Linked DNA regions of Caenorhabditis elegans. The protein of the gene in region 3 interacts with the protein of the main gene of each other region in a pairwise test. Each region holds a gene or a part of one and is shown on either strand. Other genes may lie near its edges.

Region 1 (5,826 bases), on a different chromosome or scaffold from region 3:
GTGAAAAACGGCAATTTTCACGAATTTTCCCGAGTTTTTAGTAAAAATATCCAATTTTTATTGAATTTTTCAGAGTTTTCAGTGAAAAATTCCAATTTTTCCGAATTTTCTGAAAAAAAAAACCGAAAATTCGGAGAAATTCACGAAAAAATGGGTTTTTTTAATGGAAAAATAGCTGAAAATTCGGTGGAAATCGCGAAAAAATGAGTTTCTCTGAAAAAAAAAATAGCCGAAAATCAGGGGAAAACCGCGGAAAAATGGAGACAATTGGGCGAAAATGAGGAAATTTGGCGATTTTTTGGAAAAATCGTTGAAAATTCGGTGGAAATCGCGAAAAAATGGAGGTTTTTCTGAAAAAATAGCTGAAAAACCCGACAAAATGGCGAAAATATGGAAAAAAATAGGGTGAAAGTGAGAAAATTTGGAGTTTTTCTGGAAAAAATTGCTCAAAATCGCGAAAAAATGGAGAAAATTGGACGAAAATGAGGAAATTTGGTGATTTTTTAAAAAATTGCTTAAAATTCGGTGAAAATGCTGGAAAAATAGCTCCAAAACGATAAATTGTGAGAAAATAAACGGTATTTGAGTGAATTTGCCGAAAAAATAGGAGTTTTTCTGGAAAAAATAGCTGAAAATCCCGAGAAAATGGCGAAAATATGGAATAAAAAGGTTGGAAATGAAGAAATTTGGGGTTTTTTGGCGAAAAATTGTTTAAAATTCGGGAAAAACCGCGAAAAAATGGAGAAAATAGGTTGGAAATGAGGAAATTTGGTGATTTTTTTACGAAAAAAAAAGAAAATTCGGTGAAAATGCTGGAAAAAAGAGCTCCTCGCTAAAATAGGCGAAATTTGAGTGAATTTGCCGGAAAAAACTGAGATTTTTCTGATAAAATAGCTGAAAATTCGGTGAAAATCGATAAAAAATAGCTTAAATGATGAAAAATCGCTGAAAAATGAGATTTTGCTGAAAAATAGGTAGAATCTATAAAATTTCGGGGAAAATGATGGAAATAATAGAAAAATGGGTAAAAGCACACACAAAATTAGGCTGAAAATCAATAAAATTAGGTGAAAAATGACAAAAATCTCCCAAAAAAATCGATAAAAAAATAGCTGAAAATCTGCAAAAAATCGATGAAGATATGCTGAAAATCGCTGAAAACGAGAGAAAAAATAACACAAAAATCCAATAAATTACAGGAAAAATGTTGCAATTTTATAGCAAAAAAACGGGGCTTAAAGGCACTGAAAATGTGTGAAATTTGACAAGAATTATGTGAAATTGGGGGATTTTCGGGTGGTTTTTTGTACAATTTAGCGGGGAAAATGGACGAATTTTACATGAAAAATGGGGGAATTTTGGGGGAAAATCGACCTAATTTAGGTAAAAATCGATAAATTTTGCATGGAAAACGGGGATTTTTCGCGGAAAAATCGATGAATTTTGCACATTAAAAACAGCAATTTTGGGGAAAAATTGACAATTTTAAGACAAAATTGGCATTTTTACATGGAAAAGAACTTTTTTTTTAGGTGAAAATCGATGAATTGTGCATGAAAAACCAGCGATTTTAGGTCAAAATTGACATTTTACATGAAAAAAGGGCCTAATTTAGGTAAAAATCGATAAATTTTGCGTGGAAAATAGCTATTTTAAGTGAAAATCGATGAATTTTACACGGAAAAACGACAATTTTGGGGGAAAATTGGCGATTTTAGGCCAAAATTTGCATTTTTGCTCGGAAAAATGGCTAATTTAGGTGAAAATCGATAAATGTTACATGAAAATTGGAAATTTTGAGCCGAAATTGGTAATTTTACATGGAAAACAGCGATTTTGGGGGAAAATTGTCGTTTTTACATGGAAAAAATGGCATTTTTACATGAAAAAGTGTGGCAATTTTAAGCCAAAATTGGTATTTTTGTATGGAAAATAGCTTTTTTAGATGAAAATCGATAAATTTTGCACGAAAAACGGCGATTTTTGAGAAAAATTGACATTTTTACATGAAAAAGTGGCAATTTTAAGCCAAAATCGACATTTCCTCATGGAAAATAGCTATTTTAGGTGAAAATCGATAAATTTTGAATGAAAAACGGGGATTTCAGGTGAAAATTGGCAATTTCAAGTCAAAATTGACATTTTTACAGGGAAAAATAGCTATTTTAGGTGAAAATCGATAAATTTTGCATCGAAAACAGCGATTTTGATGGGAAATTGGCGATTTTAAGCCAAAATCGGCGATTTTCCATGAAAAACGGCCATTATGGGGGAAAATTTGCGATTTTAAGCCAAAATCGGCGATTTTACATGAAAAAATGGTTATTTTAGGTCAAAATTTGGCAATTTACATGAAAAAAAACGGGCTATTTTAGGTGAAAATTGATGAATTTTGCATCGAAAACAGCGATTTTGCTGGGAAATTGGCGATTTTAGGGGAAAATTTGCATTTTTACATGGAAAAAGGCCTAATTTAGGTTAAAATCGATAAACTTTGCATGAAAAACCAGCGATTTTAAGCCAAAGTTGGACATTTTTATATGGAAAAAACGGCGATTTTGAGGGAAAATTGGCGATTTTAAACCGAAATTCACGTTTTTACATGGAAAAAACAGGATTTTAGGTCAAATTTTGACAATTTACATGAAAAAAACAGGATTTTAGGTGAAAATTGATGAATTTTACAGTAAAAATATCGATTTTATGTCAAAATGAACGAATTTTCCGCGAGAATTTCCTAGCATCCACACATTCCGCCGCCACCACTGGAGCCCGTCGGTTGTCCCAACCGAAAAGACGGGCGGTCATTGTCCCATAAGTCGGGCGTTTGAATGATTTTCTCGATAAGCTCCTCAAATGTGCACTGTACACCCTCCTTAGTCTTCGCAGAAGCTTCAATGAATAGTGTGCGGTGGCGTTTTGCGAATTTTAGGCCTTCCTCGCGGGTTACCACTCGATTTGGCTGAAAATTATTTTTTAGGCCAAAAATCGAACAAAATCGGCTTTTTCGCACCATATCAATCTTGTTCGCGACCATCATCTTGATAATATTGTCATTTGTGCAATAAGTATCGACTTCTTGCATCCAATGATTCAATTTCTCGAAGGAGCTGCGGCTAGTGACGTCATACACGCAAATTACGCCCTGTGCTCCACGATAATAGCTCGGCGTGAGGGTACGGAACCTCTCCTGGCCGGCGGTGTCCCAAATTGCGAGTTTTACACGATTTCCGTCGATTGCCATTGAAGTTACGCGGAAATCCACGCCTAAAAAACAATAAATTTAGGGTTTTTTTGGCCTAAAAATCAAAAAATCCAAAAATCCCTGGAATTTCCACGAACCTATCGTTGCAGCCTGCTCAGGATCGAAGACATCGTCCACGAATCGTAGCATTAAGCTGAAAATTTTTGAATTTAAATTGATTTTTTTAAATTTTTTTTGGGCGAGAAAACCCCTCACCTCGACTTCCCTACGCCACTTTCGCCGATAATCAGGATTTTGAGAGTTGTGAGGGGGCTTGAACTGTCGTCGGACATCTGGAATTCGTAAAAACGAAGGGAAAATGCAGGATAATTTTTTTTTTGTTGGGAAATTTACGTTTTTAAGGATAAAAGATAAAAAACTCGATTTTTCAGGGTATTTTCCCCATTTTAAGTTAATTTTTTAACACTTTTAAATAGATTTTTCACCTTAAAACCCAAAAATTTGCCGAAAAATCAATAAATTTCCCTTCGAAAATGTCAGATGTCGTTGCACGAGACGCTCTTTCGGAAAAGAGAGCGATGGAGCGCACTTGCACTTGGCACGATGCCAAGTGCCTGTCGTGGTGAGACCCGATGGCGCGAAAATGGATTTGTTTGAAATTTGTTTTTTTGTTTTTTTAATTTTTAAACGTTTTTCGTGTTTTTTATTTTTATTTTTTTTGTTTTTTATAATTTTTCCAAATTTTTATCAGTTTTCAGCAATCAAAAAAAATGCAAAAATCAATCGACGACATGATCAACGAAGTTCTCGCGGTAAAAGTCGAAAAACTGCCGAAAACCCAAGATTTTTCGGATCTCCAAGAAGTTTGCGCCTCCAAACTGCAGATAATTAACAAGGAAATGGACGAGGCCGATCGGAAGCTGGAGGAGACGCTCGAGAAGCGAAAATTGGTGGAAAAACGTGAGAAATTTAGTGAATTTTCACAATAATTTTCCCATTTCCTAGAACTCGAAGACCTCCAGGAGCAGTATAAAGTCAAGGAATTCGCGTTTTCTCTTCAAAAAGAGTTTCAGGATGAGCTGAAGAAGGTCGCCGAGGAAATTTTCTAACAATTTTCATTATTTCTGTACATATAAAGTTCTGTATTCCTTAACCCCGTTGTTTTTCCCAGTTTTCTGTACTTTTCATGCATTTTATACTTATTTTTCAGCGTTTTTCAATGATTTTTCAGGCTCAAAATCCTCATTTTCAGCCCAAAAATGACGGATTTAGACACTTCATCCGCTCAAATACGGGCTTCGCAGAGCGATTTATCGATTGCCAACTCATCGCCACGTCTGCTGGAGTCCAACGCAACTACTTCTACAGCGGTAAAATCGGATTTTTAGCGGCGAAAAAAATCGAAAAAACGCATTTTTTGCTGGAAAATAAGCAGAAAATCGTGTTTTTCGCCCTGGAAACCGCCTAAAAACACAATTTTCAGTGCATCAACGACGTTCAACAGCCGGTTCGACGCGATTTGAGCTCGGAACTCCTCTGTCCACTGTGTGATCAGCTTTTCGACAGGGTTAGAACATGGAAATACCGAGGATTTCAAGAAAAATTGCGTGAAAAATGGCGGATTTTCCATTAAAAATCGCTTAATTTTACCCATTTTTGACCCAAAAATGTGCAATTTTCGTCTTTTTCCAGCTATAAATGTGAAAAATCGGGGAAAAATGCGAAATTTTCTCATAAAAACTTGAAATTCCGAAAATTGTCTTGTTTTTGCCCATTTTTCCAGATTTTCAGCCAAAAATCACGATTTTTTGGGGATTTTTAGCTAGAAAACCGCATTTTTTCCGATTTTTAGCATAATAATCACAGATTTTCTCGGATTTTTACAGTTTTTTGCCGATTTTTACGATTTTTAGACTAAAAACTTTGGATTTTTAAGATTTTCAGCACAAAAACCCCAGTTTTTCTCGGATTTTTACAGTTTTTAGCTTAAAAACCACAATTTTTCAGATTTTTTTCGATTTTCAGCTCAGAAACCCCAGTTTTTCTCGGATTTTTACAGATTTTAGCTTAAAATTTTGGATTTTTCCGATTTTTAGCCCTAAAAACCCCAATTTTGCCGGATTTTTTCGGTTTTTAGCCAAAAAACTCCAGTTTTTCCCATATTTTAACGATTTTTAGCTCGAAACCCACAATTTTTCCGGACTTTTACAATTTTTAGCCCAAAAAACCCCAATTTTTTCGGATTTTTCTGATTTTAGCTCAAAAATAACCGATTTTTTTCGGATTTTTCTGATTTTAGCTCAAAAATAACCGATTTTTTTCGATTTTCAGCTCAAAAACCTCCCATTTTTCCAGATTTTTCCAATTTTTTGCTCAAAAAACTTCAATATTTTAAGATTTTTTTCAATTTTCAGCCGAAAAATCCAAATTTTTCCGGATTTTTACAATTTTAACCCAAAAATCACACCGATTTCTGCCGATTTTTACACAATTTTTAGCTCAAAAATCACCGATTTTTCCCAGGATTTTCCCGATTTTTAACCCAAAAATCTCGGTTTCTCAGGATTTTTACAATTTTTAGCCCAAAAACTACACAGTTTTCTCCCGTTTTTTTACGTTTT
Region 2 (5,923 bases), on a different chromosome or scaffold from region 3:
GGTACAAATTTATTTGAACCTTTGTAACTTCATATTATAGAAAAAATGAGGGTGAACAACTTTCCTCGGCCTCTGCTCAACCACAGGAAAACGCCCCTGGAATGCCTACAGAAATGCACCACTAAAAGTATAAAATAAATTACCACACGTTAAAGTCTTTGATTCTCCATCGACGAGATCAATTGAGGAGAAAGCCACAAAATCGTTTGCACCAGTTATAGATTTAAGAATTAGAATTACTGGAATTCCTTTTGGAACTGATTCCAATGAAATTAAAACTCGATTCCATCCATTTTGAGTTCCAGTTGAATCGGGAATTGATGAATCCTCTTTTTCAGTCCATATCACTTTTTCATTCATTGAACCAATATTTCGAAATGATAAAGAAGTCACAGATCCTTGACTATTAAACATTTGTAATTGAATGAAAGATGGTGCATCAATTGGTAAACGAACTGGAGAAGATGTCAAAGTTGATTCACCAGCTGCTTCATTCACAATTTTAGATGGAAGAAGTTGAATATTCGTTGATTGCCAGGAACAAATTGAAGAACGAAAATGACAAGAGATTGGAGTACATACATTTGATAATTCTGAATTTTTAAAAGTTATAGAGATGGTCCTTGGGATTTTTGTAGAATATTATTCGCATTAGTAAAAAACAAGGAAAGAACGAAAAAAACGTTTTAGGGATCCGAATATTGTCTACAATATCAACTTACTTGAACTTCTCCGAATTTCTCTTCTTCGTATATCTTCTTCATCAAAAAACTTGGAATCTTGTCCCGCCCACATAACATTTGCAGGTGTTGCCACGTCAATTTCATCGACAGCAATGATATCTTCAGCAGTTTGAATATTATCACATTCAAATATAACACTTGTTTGATTATAATCTGGAATTGGAGGAAAAATGACACTTCGACGATGCCATTTGATTCTTTCTATCTCATTTGAGGATATGGTATCAAGTAAGATCTCGTCTGTTTGGTTTTTTAAAAGAATCTGAAATTATAAGTAAGAGTTTTCATAAATTTCAAACTAAAATGGGAAAATACCCTCAAAGTCGCCATTCCACGACGTTGATACCGATATGCAAGTATTCTCATATGATCTGATTTTGAGATTTTCTGAGAAGTAACTCTTGACGAGGGCACTGATGCGAACTTTCCTTGTGCAAGTAGGAATGGTCCTTCTGAAAAACGAGCGACTTTAAAATTCCCCATTTATGTTAGAGTGCGCAAGTTTCAAAGGACACACTTGGTGACCTTCCTAGATTTTTCAAAACTTGAAGTAAATGGTTTCAGTATACTAAATTACTTTCTCAATGTTTTCATTGTTACTACACGAAAATTACGAGTACAGAAGCGGATATTTAAGATTCCAAATTTCGGCATTTTGCCAAAAGATTGACCTAAAACATTGATGATTGTACAAAATTGTAGATTTTCAAATATATATATTTAGTACTTTTGCCCCAATTCGAGTACATGTTTAGAAAAACTATAACTAAAACTGAAAAGAAAATTGTAAAAGTACAGATAACTGTAACTGATATCTCGCCACGATTCGAATAAATCGCGATTCTACCGTAGTCTCAATGAGAAAAACGGCCGACGTGGTACATTCCGTAGAACATGATCTTTAAAAATGTCGGTAACTTTTTTAACATGTGACATCATCCGTGAGGGTCTACTAGACTGCTTGAATCTATGTGACTATAGTAAAATCGCGGCAAGAAATCGTGGTGATGAGCACATTGCGATCTACCGTATAAAACCTGTTTTGAGATAGTAGATGATTGTTGTGAATCTTTGTGCAAATAATAAATTAACCATTGAAGCTAAATTTCAGGTTCTCCGATCGGCCAATGTATTTAGTCATTTCGATTTAATAGTGAACATGCTATACACGAGATGTAGTCTAGAAGACATTAGAAAATACATTTAATTTCTCACCAGAAGTGATAACATCGGGTGTCTTTGAAATATTTAGTAGTCCAGGATGCTGATGACGTGGAAGAATTGCCAACGAGACAACATTCCACGGAGGTCTGATATCCCATTCACAGGTTCCTTCGTTGAATGTACATAACTCCGTACAGTAAGAAATAGGTAGTACTACTAGGTAGATAATTTTGAAAAGCATTGCGTTGAACGGTGTCATCTGTCATAATCCTGAAGTTGGTTAGAGTGACCTCGTTGGATATTCAACAAGTGACCGGTTTTCGGGGGGAGGGGGAGGACATGTCAATTATACAAGAGTAAGCAATGAAGGTAAAGATGGCTAGTTAGCATGTGGAAGAAGAGCAATTTATTTTATTAAGTCTCTGCGCACGAGAAGATTTGTAAGAAAAGTAAAAGGGGGAGGGAAATTGAAAGAAATGGAGAACATATTTAAACGATCATTAGTTAGAACAGGTAAGTGGAAATGGAGAAAATGTTTCCTAGAAGGGAAGAATGTGAGGCAAAAATTCGAAAAAAAATGAGGGGGAAAGAAGAAGAAGCAAAAAAGATGTATTGACATTCAAATTCATGAATACCCGGATGAAACATTTACAAAACCAAATTGGAGAATAGAGAAGTAAGAGGGAAAAACATGAATCTAGCAGCATCCTCCACTGCTACTCTGCCTCTGTGGTTGCACTGGATTCACCGTATCGCGGGATTGCTCGTCAGTGGAATCAGGCATCTGAAAATAAAAACAAATTATGAAAAAAAAACAATCGTATTAATGAAACTAATTTAGATTATTCTGGTGCAATTTTTGACGAAGCGATTAAAATTTTTTGCATGATTAAAAACGAAGAAGTTTCGCTCTTCATATTTTGTACTAGAAGAGTAATGAGGACAAAAATAAAAAGGCTCTTAGATTTTTCAACTAATTACGAACAATTTCACAAGAAAAAATCAGATTCTAATGCATTTAGCAATCTAATTATCACATTTTCGTCGATTTCAATACTATCAGAACATATATTCGCCCGTGCAAAGAATGTACTAATATATTTCGAATTTTCACATCCTTAATTTTAATTTTTAAAAACATTTTAAAACTTTACCTTAGCCAGAATTGCTTCTGCTAAATCGTAAAACGCTGTATCGACGTGAACATTCAATTTAGCTGAAGTCTCGTGGAAGCTGAAAATAAAAATTGTTTGAGATTATATATATATATTTTTTTATTTTTTAATCCTTTTTAATCTCCCAAAACGTACCTAATACCATGATCTTGTGCGATCTTCTCTCCTCGTTCTCTGCTCACAACTCGTCTATCACTCATATCACATTTATTTCCCAATATCATTTTAACAACATCTTCCGATGCATGTTCGTCAATATTGCGCAACCACTTTGCAATATTGTCAAAACTTTTCGCATTTGTGATATCGTAAACCAGCATAATTCCCATTGCTCCGCGGTAATATGATGTTGTGATTGTGTGGAATCGTTCTTGTCCAGCTGTGTCCCAGATTTGTAATTTAATCTTTTTTCCTTTTAATTCGATAGTTTTAATTTTGAAGTCGATTCCTGAATGAAAAAAGAAAATTATTTTGAAATCACTAGATTCTGAATAAAAACTAACCAATAGTTGAGATGAATGTGGTGTTAAAGGCATCATCCGAAAATCTGTACAGAATGCAAGTTTTTCCAACTCCTGAGTCGCCTATTAGCAGCAATTTGAAGAGCATGTCATACGGTCGGCGAGCCATTTTTCTTCTGAAATGAGAAAAAGTTGAGAACTAAAGTTGCACAAAAGTAAGAGAAAAGCACTTGAGTCATGGCAAATAGAACGAACACTTTGAGATTTCGAAGAAGTTATCAAGAGTTGACAATTGGAAGATATTTGGAAGAACTTTCTAATTTTTTTCTAGTTTTCCAAAATTAGGTTTTTGTCATAAAATGTTGTCAAAGAAAAAACAGGACAAAATAGTTAATTGTTGTTTCCATTATAACAAAAAAAAATTTGAACGGAGCTATTAACGCGTGCATGCGCAAATCACATCGATTAGCTGTTTCTGGGAAATTCTCGGGAAAAGGTGAACAGCAGCTGCTGGCTTCCTCTGCGGGTCACGAAAACACAAAGAGATCATTATAATTGTTATTTGGAAAGGAAGCGAATCTAAAACGGGTACAGGTGGACGTTTATTGATCGAAAGTGCTTTTTATTTGAAATTGAATGGTGAACTTTGCAATTTTGTAATGCAAAGTACGTTATCAGATGGCATGAGATGTGTGAAGTGATAAGGAATAAAATGTGAACGACATGTTCAAGAAACTGTGATTTTTCAATAATTTGTGATGAAATATTTTAGGAACAGAAATGAACATATTAATTGATATAAAAACAATAGGAACACTAACTCATAATTATGATAGGTGAATATCAAAATGTGCTAGATTTTTTGAAGTTAAAAAATACATTTCTAATATTTTTTCAAATAATAAGTTTCAGCTGAAATTTCAGGGTGATTTCAGAAAGCTATGTTTTGATAAATTGTTTTGAAAATTAAAAGAAGCTACAGCAAAAAAAAATTAAAGAGAACATCGCTCCCTCGTAGTGTATAATTTTTGATTATCGAAAAAAATGAGTCAATGATGAAAAGGAAGTCGCAATCTCAAAACTTCAAAAATCAAAAGAAGCCGTTGCCTCTGTCATCAAAAATTCAGAAGACAAGGTTGTTGACAAGGGTCAATTCTCAGTGGTGGAGGGCATTGGGCGTGGTGAAATTTTTGAAGGCTAGTGTGGTTGGACCTCTACTAGATAGACAAAACCCCCGAAATAGACGTTTAATTTGATGAGATGGTGGAGAAAGAAAAGGACTCATTCTCTAGATGATAGAGAGACCAGAGATACAGACAAGAGAGGGCGCCTCGGCCGTATGTTGAATGGGAGATCGATGGAACCGAGACAACGAGAAAAGGAATAGAGACGGAGAAAGAGAGAGAGAGCGCGCGTTGTTGGAAGGATGAAAAAGAAAAAAGACATGAGCTGCTTCACAAGAGCTTGGCGAAAGCAAAGGGCAAAGTGTTGACAGCTTAGTGGTGGTAGTTGGATCATGTGTTTTTATGTTTCCGGTGGGAGAAGGTTCAACAAAAAATGAAAAGAAAAAGTTCAAGCGGCATGAATCATTCTGAGTTTAAAACAAAATTATTGCGAAAATTAATATTAAAACCTTTTCACAAAACTTCAAGCTAATCTGTTCATGAAAATTTGAATAATAGTTTTTTCCCACCTATTTAGAATTAACTTCATATTAACGAAATTAATTAACGAATCGAAAATTATGACTTTTCAGAATCATCTGAAGTTTTTTCACATTCCATGCTGCATGGAATAATTTGATCCTGGAATCGATATGTTTTTATGGTATACTTTTTAACCTTCAATTTAGCTGGAAAAGTATGGAATAAATAATTCCCGAAGCTATGTACATATATGTAGAATTATTGAATGATTGTGAGAACAACTTGACTTTAGCTTGAGTAGGAATCGGAATGGCTATCGACCGATCAACACTTAGGATTGTAAGAATGGCAGTAAGAATATATTGAAGAAAGAATGTTTGTTCATAGGAAGAGAAAGAGTATTGCGAAATCATCATCGCCCACTTTAGAATGGACGGGCGGTGAGCGGACATAGAGAATTGTGAATGACTAATGCTTTTGCAGAATCTAGGGCAAAATCGTAGGAACAAACAATTGTAATACGGAGAAAACAATCATATCGATCGATGATCATGGAGAAAAATGTGATTTAAGTGAGTAGACTTGGAAAAATTAATAAAAGCATGAATTGTCGATATTTTTCATTTATTTTCATTATAAAGCTCTTTAAAAACAAATTAAATATTGAGAATGGCTTCGAAGAATATTGTTTCAAATATGTTCAATGGTGACACCTTGCGGATAAAATTAATGTA
Region 3 (9,645 bases):
GGCCGTGCTCCTCCAGTGCCACCACCACCACATCCATCACATCCTTATTCGATCTCTTCTCAACAATCTTCTCCAGCTCATCCATCGTCAGCTTTTCCACCACAATGGCCGATAACACCAACTGACCAGGTAGCAAAAACTGAGAATTAAAAACTTTTAAAAAATCTTTCTATTGGCACGAATAGAGAATTGACAGTTATTTTCCTTTACAGATTTGATCAAATATTCTTGTAATTATTTCAGGCTAAATATGACTCCATCTTCCAATCATTGAATCCTGTAAACGGAAAATTGTCTGGTGCACACGTACGCCCGGTTCTGATGAACTCTGGACTTGATGCTCATGCTCTGGCTCGAATTTGGGAACTTTCGGATCAGGACAAAGATGGAAACCTTGATCGAATCGAAATGTCTGTTGCACTTCATCTTGTATACCGATCACTTCAATCAGACCCGGTTCCTGCACAGCTCCCACCAAATCTCATTCATCCTTCGAAAGCAATGTATGCTCACAGCTCACCGAATTTCGCTGCTCCTCCACATCCTCCACGTCCGATGATGGGATCGAGAGCAGGATCTGTGACGTCATTGGATGATGTGAACATGAGTCAATCGTATTCTGCAACGATGCCACGTGCATATCCACCACAACCAGGTCGTGCTTACTCTGCACAGGCTCATGTGAATGGATCACGAACCAGTGGTGCATCAACTCCGATATCTGCTTCTCACTCGATTCACTCATTTCCTGCTGGTGAATGGCCTATCAATACAGGAGATTATGCTGATCAATTTGCTCAAACTGATACGAATAAGGATGGATTGGTTGATGGCATGGATATGAGAGCTCCCATGATGACTACTGGATTGAGTGCACAGATATTAGCACATGTCTGGGCATTAGCAGATATAAAAAAATGTGGACAGTTGAATTTGGAGCAATTTGCTTTGACGTAAGTCTTTCAAGTTTACCAAATATCTAGTGTAACTAAATATTAATTTTCAGAATGCATCTTCTTGACATGGCAAAACGAGGCGAGTCCATCCCATCAGAACTGCCTTTACATCTGATTCCACCTTCATTCCGCCCACCTACGGAACCTTCAGCTTTGCATCATCCTGCTCAATCAGTTTCAACTCCACAGCTCCCAGAAGCAACTTCGATGGAAATTAAAGAAGCTTTGGAAGGCGAAAACGAAGAGATGAAGCAGCTCGCAGAGTCTATTCAATCAATGCTGGTGGAGCGGAAAACTGCAGAAGAAGCTGTTTTACAACTAGAAGCTGATATGACTATTAAGAACTCGAGTATCAAAAATCTGCAGGTTGAATTGGCCACCTTGGAGTCGACAGTTAAACAGTTGGAGCGACAAAAAGGTGAAGCCACACGAAGATTAGCTGATTATGATACTCAAATAGAACAGTTAGAATCAGCATGTAAAGCACAGAAAGAAACGAAAGAAGATACCGAGAAACGAATGCAACAAATTGATGAAGATGCAAAGAATGCTGAGGACTGTAAAGCAAATGATGAAAAAGAAATGGAAGAATTGAAAAAAGAAATTGAAATGCTCGATAATCAATTCAAAACTGTTCGTGGAGAAATTGTCAAAGAAACATCACAAAGAGAGCAAAAGGTGGCCGAATTGACAACTCTAGAACGAAAAGAAGCAAGAGATCAGATACAAATGGAAAAGCTGGATGCTGCAATCGAGAACACGACAAAACTAACAGAACAAGTATCAGATGCAGTCGAAAAATCCGAGGAGGAAATGGTTCAAATTCTGAGGTCGCAACAACGATTATTGTCTACTGTAATCGATCAATCGTTGCTATCCGATGACACTGTTTATGGAGAAACAGCTGGAACATCATCTCAAAATCATGTTCAACAACCACCTGATCCGTTTGCATCCGCCAGAGCAAGTAGGTTTATATTTTTAAGAAACAAAAAGAGTTATGAAAACTTTTATTCTGACTTAAAGTTTTGAAATATGAATATATAACATAAATTCAATTTCCAGATCCTGCTGCTGATCCATTCGCCCAAGTAGATCAGTTCGGCTCATCTGGACATTTTGATGCCGCTTTCCCAACTGATCCATTTGCTCAAGGAGGCTTCCCATCGGATTCTGGCTTCGCACAATCGGCTCCCGCAAAACCTGCTCCACCTCGCCCAGCTCCTCCAAAATCTGCTCGCGAAACACCTGTCAATGATCCTTTTGCGTAAGTCTTAGTGAGTATCAATTTATTTAAAGTCTAAATAATTTCAGCCCATCACAAGGACAATCAACTCAACCGGCTGGATTCGCTGATTTTGCGGACTTTGGATCGGCTTTCAATTGATTTTTAATAATTATACCTTACCCACTATAAGCCCCAACGCCAGTCAAATTGTTTTACTTTGCCCAAATGTTTACCTGTGCCAAGTCATCGACATAATTTATTGATGCACATTTTTAAGATTAGTTTTTTTGCACTTTCCCACTTGAATTGTCACTTTTCTAGGTTATGAAATCAGAGCAATAATGTTATATACTGTAGAATATGAATATGCATGATTATTATGTAAATTATGAGTTATAATATATAGTAAATGATTTGCAGATTAATTTTATGTTGCGTATTTGATATTTTCAGTCTCATGTGTAAAAACGGAGCACAAGTAAACGGGTTGAAGGGGGGGAAGTAAACCGTAAAAGAAATTGATAAGGAAAAAGGAGAATCACAGAAGTTTGAAAATAATAGTGAAAAAGTTGTGTGAAGAAGACATAATTATGCTAGAAATCGAAAGAAAATACAGATTAGATGTACAAGAATGTTCGTGTCGGATTTACATACAGTGGCCAGTATCCTGAAAATAATAATCGCTATATTAGAATTTATTTATATATTACTGTTTACCTTCAATTGTGTCAAATAGAGTTGTCGTTTAGTTTCTATAGTCTTCTGAGGGAACGGATTCAGTTCGTTGAATGCCACTTGAGCTAGCGACTTGAAGTCAATGATATGTTCTTGAGCTTTGCTGAGACATTGATGAACTGTGCCTGAAAATTCTTGTTAAAAAACTAATAAATTTAAAGTTGTAAGTCACAAACCAATAGTTTTACATTGAAGAACGTGAGGTTCGCATATTTTGAAAAGTGCCAGTGCGAATCGAAAAAGAACCTTATTTCCTTCATAGAGGAATGCATCGAATATAGTCAGATAAATAGAATGCGGGAGTACATCTACAAAACACGTCAGGAACCAACTGAGCGCGAAAAGTGAAAGATCAACTTCAAGAGCTCTCAAATGTGCAGCCAATTTTGGAAGCTTTTCTGCTACAAGATCGCGGAGAACTTTCTGATCGGCAACCGCTCCGATCAGTGAGCTAGTGTAATATCCTTCAGGTTGGAGATGTTCCACACATGCTACAAGGAACCAGAACGAATCCTGCTCATCCAGGTTTAACAGAGCAATTGCAGCAAGACGATTGAGTCCTTGGCAGTAGCCGACGTGAGAGTTATGGTATCGGAAGGCGTAGAGTACGTTTCGTAGTTTTTCTATGTTAGCAGAATCTGGCTCGTCGAAAAGTTTATTCGTGGGCAGAGTTCGAGCGAGGTCAAGATCAATCTGAAAAAATAATATGAGAAACTCGAATTTAGAATAATATAAATATACCTGTTTGATGGCTGCATCGTAACTTCCATCCTGCTTCTTTGTTCCAGCCTTTCTGAGCATACTTTGATAGTATCCATTACCCAATTCTGCTTGCTTATCCTTCACCCAATGTGTCACAATTATCTTCCATACACGACCTCTGTAGGCAGGTGGTACTCCAGTTCGAATAAGAGTTTTTAGATCAGGTGAAGACATGATTGCAGTCTGCCGGGATACTGTATTGTTGACAAGGAACGCATCCCACGATTGTAACCATTTCATGTATTCTTCAGATTGTTCCAATTTCGTTGCTTCCACTACGTCTCCCGCTTTTTTCATGTAAAACGTGGCAGTATCCAAAAGATCATCGCTTTCAGAAAAATCATCCTTTTTATAGAATCCCAACTGATCCGTGAGGTTTTGCTGAGATTCTCGAGGTGTTCTTGCCGACTCTTCGAGTAATTCTTTCAACACACCAGGTTCCATTACTGTAGAGCAAAAGTGATTATATTATAACAGAAAATTGTTTAAAAACTCACTTTTTCCTGGTTTTGTCGGAGACTTAAAATGGTTTAGAACCATCAAATAACGGCTTTTTAATTGGTAATAGCAGGCTTCGAGGTCGAAATTTTGACGAATCAGCTTCTTCTCTCGATCTTCCAGAGATTGAGTGATAGCATGCAATTGGACTATTTCCGCATTCAAAAACTGATTCTGGGTACGGTATCCTTCTACGAGATCTTGAAGTTCTCCAATATCACGAACATTTTCTTCGTCTAGAACCCTAAAATAAAATACTTTAAAATTTAAATTGTAAAAATAAATTCGTACTTCCTGGTAGCTTCTTCACAATCAACTGATGATACATCGACAAGAATGCCTTCAGGAACCTCAACATCCGATACAAGTCCATTTGCGTCTGCAGGAATATTCGAGCTTCTTTCAGATATCGATCCTAGTAAGTCTTCTCGATTTTCTTCTTCACACATTCGAAGAATAAGCTCTTCTTTTGTTCGTAATGATTCTCGGAAAGCTTCTACTGATTGTTGCAAATCATTGATCGTATCCTCAAGCCTTACATTTTGATCTTCAAGATCACGAACTCGTCGAGCATTCATGCTATTCGAAATATGTAATTCGGTGACTTGTCGCTCCTTTTCCAGTATATACTCTCGCATTTCCTCCTTATTATCTCCCATATCCTCGATTTTCTGACTAAAATTTCAACAATTTATTATGATTTTAATTAAATAATAAAACTCACAGTGCTTCATTATTTCTTTGAGCTAGTAGAAGAGCAGCTCTCAGCGAATCGACAACTTCCTCCAGACTTGAAACTTTATCAGACAATTCAATAACTTTCTCTTCAGGAGTTAGATCAACAGAAGATACTGTACCTTTCTGAAAATTTTACTCATAGTGAATGTTTGATCACTATTTGAACATACTCTACTTCCAACAACTGGTTCATCGGACGTATTTTGCCGACTTCTGCTCCAAGTCGAAAGATTTCTTCGAATAGCTCGAAAAGGAGCTTCTATACTTTGATCAGCTAGTCGCTTTAATACAGTTTCTGGGCTTTCGATTGTCTGAAAGTATAATTTGAAAGTTTTCAAGTTGTATGTTCACTTACCTTTGGCATCTGTAGAGATCGTTCATTCAGCTGTCCATTTGGATTCAAATACCATTCCGTTGCAGATCCTTCAGCTGGTATTTTCGTGTTGTCTGTGTCTTCAACCACTTCGGCAGTTTCCTCAGATGAGTGAGGAACATCAGAAGATGTTTCAGCGTCTGTTTCTTCTTCAGTTAGGAATTGTGTTCGTTTCTTTGGTTTTGGACTTCTTGGTGGTGGTACTGGAGAAGGAGACGAGCATTCTTCGAGGACCGAAGACGAATTTCTTCCCGTTAAAGACGAAATATCTAGACTTGAATCAGATTTTGATTTCGTTGCCTTCCAGCTTCTTTTCCGTGTACTTTGAAGAGCTTTCATCCATTCATTGCGTTGCTTGTCTGAACTACATTCCAGCGCAATTACTTCATTGTTAGAGCTGAAATAAGTCGATTTTTAACGAATTAATTATATTAAACTCACTGAATTTCAAAACGGCCTTTTTCTCTTGGATCATAAGTGAATGCTGCGCCACTCAATGAGACTCTTCCGATACATTTTATGTCATCTGAATCTTTATACCAGTAAAGATATGGAGTTGAGTCACAGAGTGCGAACCAATAGCGACGGCGTGTTATCAGACCGATCGAACGAACTTCGATCTGGAAACAGTGGATATCATTTTTGTTGATTCCTAAGATTGGCATTTAATGTTTTTAAAAGTTCTTCGGGATCAAATTTAAAATAGTAATGTCATTTTAAAATTTTCTGGACATTTTAAAATAAATCTTTAAATTTTCTGGAAATTTTTCCGAAAATAATATATTTAGGCCAAACTACCGTACCCGATGCAAGTATCCACAGATTGCCGAAGTTTTTAGTTCGCGAGCTGGTGGGCTGATTGTCCCCGGCGCCGCAGACATCCGCGTTATCTGAAGTTCTGAAAGTAGGAATAGATATGAGAGATTTAGAAAGAATAACAAAAGTAGTATTTGTATCGTATGTTCAACGACTCATCGCACTGGACAAACTGGTTTTTTATTCGACCACCAGGCGAGGGAAGGTGGCGAACGGAGAGGGAGAGAACGTATCGAATTTTTATGAAACAAAATGAGAAAAAAAGAAGTGAAATGCAGGAAGAGGTATTGAGAAGTGAAGTGAAAATGAAATAGAGTAAGAGATCAATATGAAATGATTAAGAGATGACTAAAATTAGTCATCAAATAATTTATTGTTGCTGTTTAATATTCGTCCAGTAATCGGGATAATCGGCGAGTTGGCCGATGTTGATAGTTTCAGAGCATCCTTGCATTGCACACTTGATAACTCGCTTTTTGCCAGCAAACTCATGAATTGAATCCCTATCGTAGACGTGTCCACAGTTCTGGAATATTGATTTATTGATATAAAATAAAACTTTTGTTGCAATTTGGTGGTGATGAAATGTTTCGAAAGATAAATAAACGAACAAGGATGGTCAATCAAAAAATAATGAGTCATAAATTGCAGATGATATATTTGCACAACCCGAATGACAAGACGGGGATGAAATGTTGAAAAATAGAGAAAAAATGTTAAAAACTTACCTTACTGATAACTGGATTGACAATATCTTTCTTCGAAATTGGATCCTTTCTACTATGTTGAACTTGCATCACTTCCATTTCATTTTCATCGTTTTTACTTTCATCCCTTATAGATTTGATAATGTCTTTGAAGTACTGTCGCTCGCCTTTCACATTTTTATGGGTTTTTTTCGCCTTCTCGTATAACTCCTCCAATGCTTTTTCCTGCAAAATTATTATTAATATAATTTGTTTAAATATCTGCAACGTACATTCGGAACCTCGTCTGAACCATCTTTCAGGTCATTATGCAACGCTTCAAAAATGTGTTGCATTTGAGCACCTTCAGTCTCCAATTCCATCAACTTCATTGCATCTTTCATCAATGTTTCTTTGAATTCTTCAGAATCTACTTCATTTGAAATAGCATTTTTTGAATTGATATGAAGAACATCCTCAGCAGCCTTTCTCAGACTTTTTCGAATAATTTCCATACTAGTGGCGAGCTGGGTAGACATCTGGAAGGGATTTCACAACTTATTGAACTTCTAAATAACAAAAAAAGATAATTCAAAAATCGTTATATACGAATAACATTAGCCTACAAATGAACATTTAAAATTTAAAATTTTTTATTGAATTAACCCATATTTTCAGAAAGTGATTATGCATGAAAATTTTGAACATAAGGCGATAAAAACCAGGCAGTGAATAAGAAGTGATTAGGTACCCATATTCAATTTTCCTATTCGGACAGAAAGATGGAAAAATATGGAATCTTTGTCGTTTCCCCAAGCTTCGTGTAGAGAAAGCAGCTTTTGTAAAGTAATTCGAACACTTGTTTCACATCGATCCAAATAGTCAAGATCCAACGTGTTGGAGACTGATCTGAAAATAGTAATTTTTCATTTTAAAAAGCTCAATCAAAAAAGCTGCAGTCATGGCTGTAAATGTTTTTTTTTTTGGAAAAAAATACGAAAAATTATGCTTCACAAAACAATTTTGAGTAGAAAAAAATTAAAGTCGAAATTTTAAAAGAAAGTACAATTTTGGTCAACTTGTTTTAGATTTTCAAAATGAAGTTTCAAACTTAATAATTCTTAGTTTTGGTTTTTTGTTGCTTTTTTTGTGTTTTCGGTGGAAAAACTTTTTGATCTGATCTGAAAGTTGAAATTTAAATCCAATGGCATTGAAAGTGCCAAAATATTAATTTAAATGTTTGCATTTAATAATTGTATAACTTACCGTAACCGTATCTCATCTGTCATAGTCATAAACATATCCATATTTTCATGAACCAATCGTCTGATTCCAATGCGTACAACAAGATCTGAGAGCTTCTTGTGACCATCTGTAATCGCATTTTCCACCTGCTTCAAGCTTGTTGCATTCACAATTTGATCACGTGCCGTTCGAAATACATAGCGAACCTGGAAAAGGATATTTGAAAATTATAAAAAAGATATTTAAGAAAACCTTATCAGAGAACAACTCTCTGAAATGTGACACAACTTGTTCGAGTGTGAATACAAAGAAACGAAGTTTTGTTCTAAGTGCTCGATTCATTTTCTCGATTGCATTCGTTTTGTGATGAGCGAGAGAAACATCGATTGTGGATTGTGGACATTTCATTCGAGATAGTAGTTCTTCTGAAACAAAAAATGTAAAATTACATCCTTGACCGGTTGAAAAGCTCACTGTCATTAGCCATCGTAACTAGCAATTCTCTGGTTCGATATGCGCTGTGTGCAAACTTCATACACTGATTCATGACGTCAATAACTTCGGGACGAATGAATGAAGCCAGCATATGCTCGAGCTGAAAAACATTTAATTTTCAAAATTTTATTCCAATGCTAATACCTTGCATGTGAATTCAGATTTTGTTGAAATCCATGAGAATATATTCATATTTTCCTTACTCATCCGACCTCTCGATGCCAACCAAAATGCATCAGCAAAGTTGGTAACATTGGAATCTGATCGGAAGACTGTTGTTGCATATTGCTGTGAAATCGAACCAATGACAACATTCTGAAAGAAAAAGTTTTTGTCAGACACCCATCAATTCTCCGAACTGATAATATTTTTTTTTATCAGTAAATTTAAATCACATGCCTCTAAGTCGACCCACAAGTTGACAAATCGGTTGTTTCTATGTAATTCATTGAGTAGCTCTTGTGCAAACTGATCCTGAAGTAGGAGACATGTATCAAAAAATAGAGATCGGAATTCATCAAATGGTAGAAGATCTTCAGTGAATTTAGCTGCGGCTCGTAATGAATCAAATGCATTCGTGAATGTTTTGACTGGAAATTCAATTAATCCAACACGGATCCGACATTTGACTGCTTCAAGAATGATTTCAATCAGTTCTTCATCCCAAAGTAACGATTGAACTTCTTTGATATCTCGACAAAGTAGAATTTGAGCATCCGGTTTGACGTCACTAAAAATAAAGTTTTAAATTAGTATTTACGGAGTTTTCGTTATAATTTTCAGATTATTTTGATTATTAGTAACATTTCAAACACCATCACTAATCACTTATTCTCCACACCCTGATATCAACCCGTTTATCTCATGGCCATTCTAGCGGAAATAAGTGAAATATGCAAATATCTCTCTAGATATCTCTTCCGAATATGCAATATTTCGCATGGAAATCAAATTAAAAAACGCTGGAGAAATTTGAGAATTGACATGATGGAATTTTTGGAGGAAATTCTGAAAACAGGTTGAATGATGAATGACCATAGCTAGAAAAAAGTATAAAAAGCAATGAGAGAAATCTGATAATTATGTCAAGTCTGAATATGACGTCGACAGCTA

Evidence for each region. Proteins that work in one complex are often made in the same cells at the same time.
Region 1: the proteins of tbc-2 (region 3) and rab-18 interact in a two-hybrid assay, tested with the Caenorhabditis elegans proteins (one study listed by BioGRID).
Region 2: the proteins of tbc-2 (region 3) and rab-10 interact in a two-hybrid assay, tested with the Caenorhabditis elegans proteins (2 studies listed by BioGRID).

The regions. Positions count from the first base shown.
Region 1 is NC_003281.10:1,076,945-1,082,770, forward strand, and holds rab-18 (Ras-related protein Rab-18), read right to left. Parts: upstream 3,538-5,826; coding exon 3,461-3,537; intron 3,399-3,460; coding exon 3,343-3,398; intron 3,268-3,342; coding exon 3,014-3,267; coding exon of another isoform or gene 2,963-3,013; coding exon 2,738-2,962; 3' UTR 2,522-2,737; downstream 1-2,521. Other genes in the region: kbp-4 (KNL (kinetochore null) Binding Protein), read left to right, coding at 3,976-4,165, 4,211-4,314; par-2 (RING-type domain-containing protein), read left to right, coding at 4,465-4,575, 4,689-4,772. UniProt on the Caenorhabditis elegans protein: The small GTPases Rab are key regulators of intracellular membrane trafficking, from the formation of transport vesicles to their fusion with membranes.
Region 2 is NC_003279.8:6,454,761-6,460,683, forward strand, and holds rab-10 (Ras-related protein Rab-10), read right to left. Parts: upstream 3,720-5,923; 5' UTR 3,713-3,719; coding exon 3,586-3,712; intron 3,531-3,585; coding exon 3,218-3,530; intron 3,141-3,217; coding exon 3,062-3,140; intron 2,692-3,061; coding exon 2,605-2,691; 3' UTR 2,522-2,604; downstream 1-2,521. Other genes in the region: mam-8 (MAM domain-containing protein), read right to left, coding at 144-593, 723-1,005, 1,059-1,195, 1,959-2,166. UniProt on the Caenorhabditis elegans protein: The small GTPases Rab are key regulators of intracellular membrane trafficking, from the formation of transport vesicles to their fusion with membranes.
Region 3 is NC_003280.10:5,821,256-5,830,900, forward strand, and holds tbc-2 (PH domain-containing protein), read right to left. Parts: upstream 6,189-9,645; 5' UTR 6,172-6,188; coding exon 6,094-6,171; intron 5,911-6,093; coding exon 5,732-5,910; intron 5,688-5,731; coding exon 5,273-5,687; intron 5,229-5,272; coding exon 5,088-5,228; intron 5,041-5,087; coding exon 4,904-5,040; intron 4,855-4,903; coding exon 4,471-4,854; intron 4,424-4,470; coding exon 4,179-4,423; intron 4,128-4,178; coding exon 3,661-4,127; intron 3,613-3,660; coding exon 3,096-3,612; intron 3,045-3,095; coding exon 2,902-3,044; intron 2,852-2,901; coding exon 2,831-2,851; 3' UTR 2,601-2,830; downstream 1-2,600. Other genes in the region: ehs-1 (Eps15 (endocytosis protein) Homologous Sequence), read left to right, coding at 1-129, 244-953, 1,007-1,923, 2,022-2,223, 2,271-2,343; ZK1248.11 (E3 SUMO-protein ligase NSE2), read right to left, coding at 6,477-6,632, 6,835-7,038, 7,086-7,331; gtap-1 (Dynein heavy chain 7, axonemal), read right to left, coding at 7,536-7,701, 8,059-8,243, 8,290-8,462, 8,512-8,632, 8,677-8,847, 8,932-9,262; col-74 (Nematode cuticle collagen N-terminal domain-containing protein), read left to right, coding at 9,630-9,645.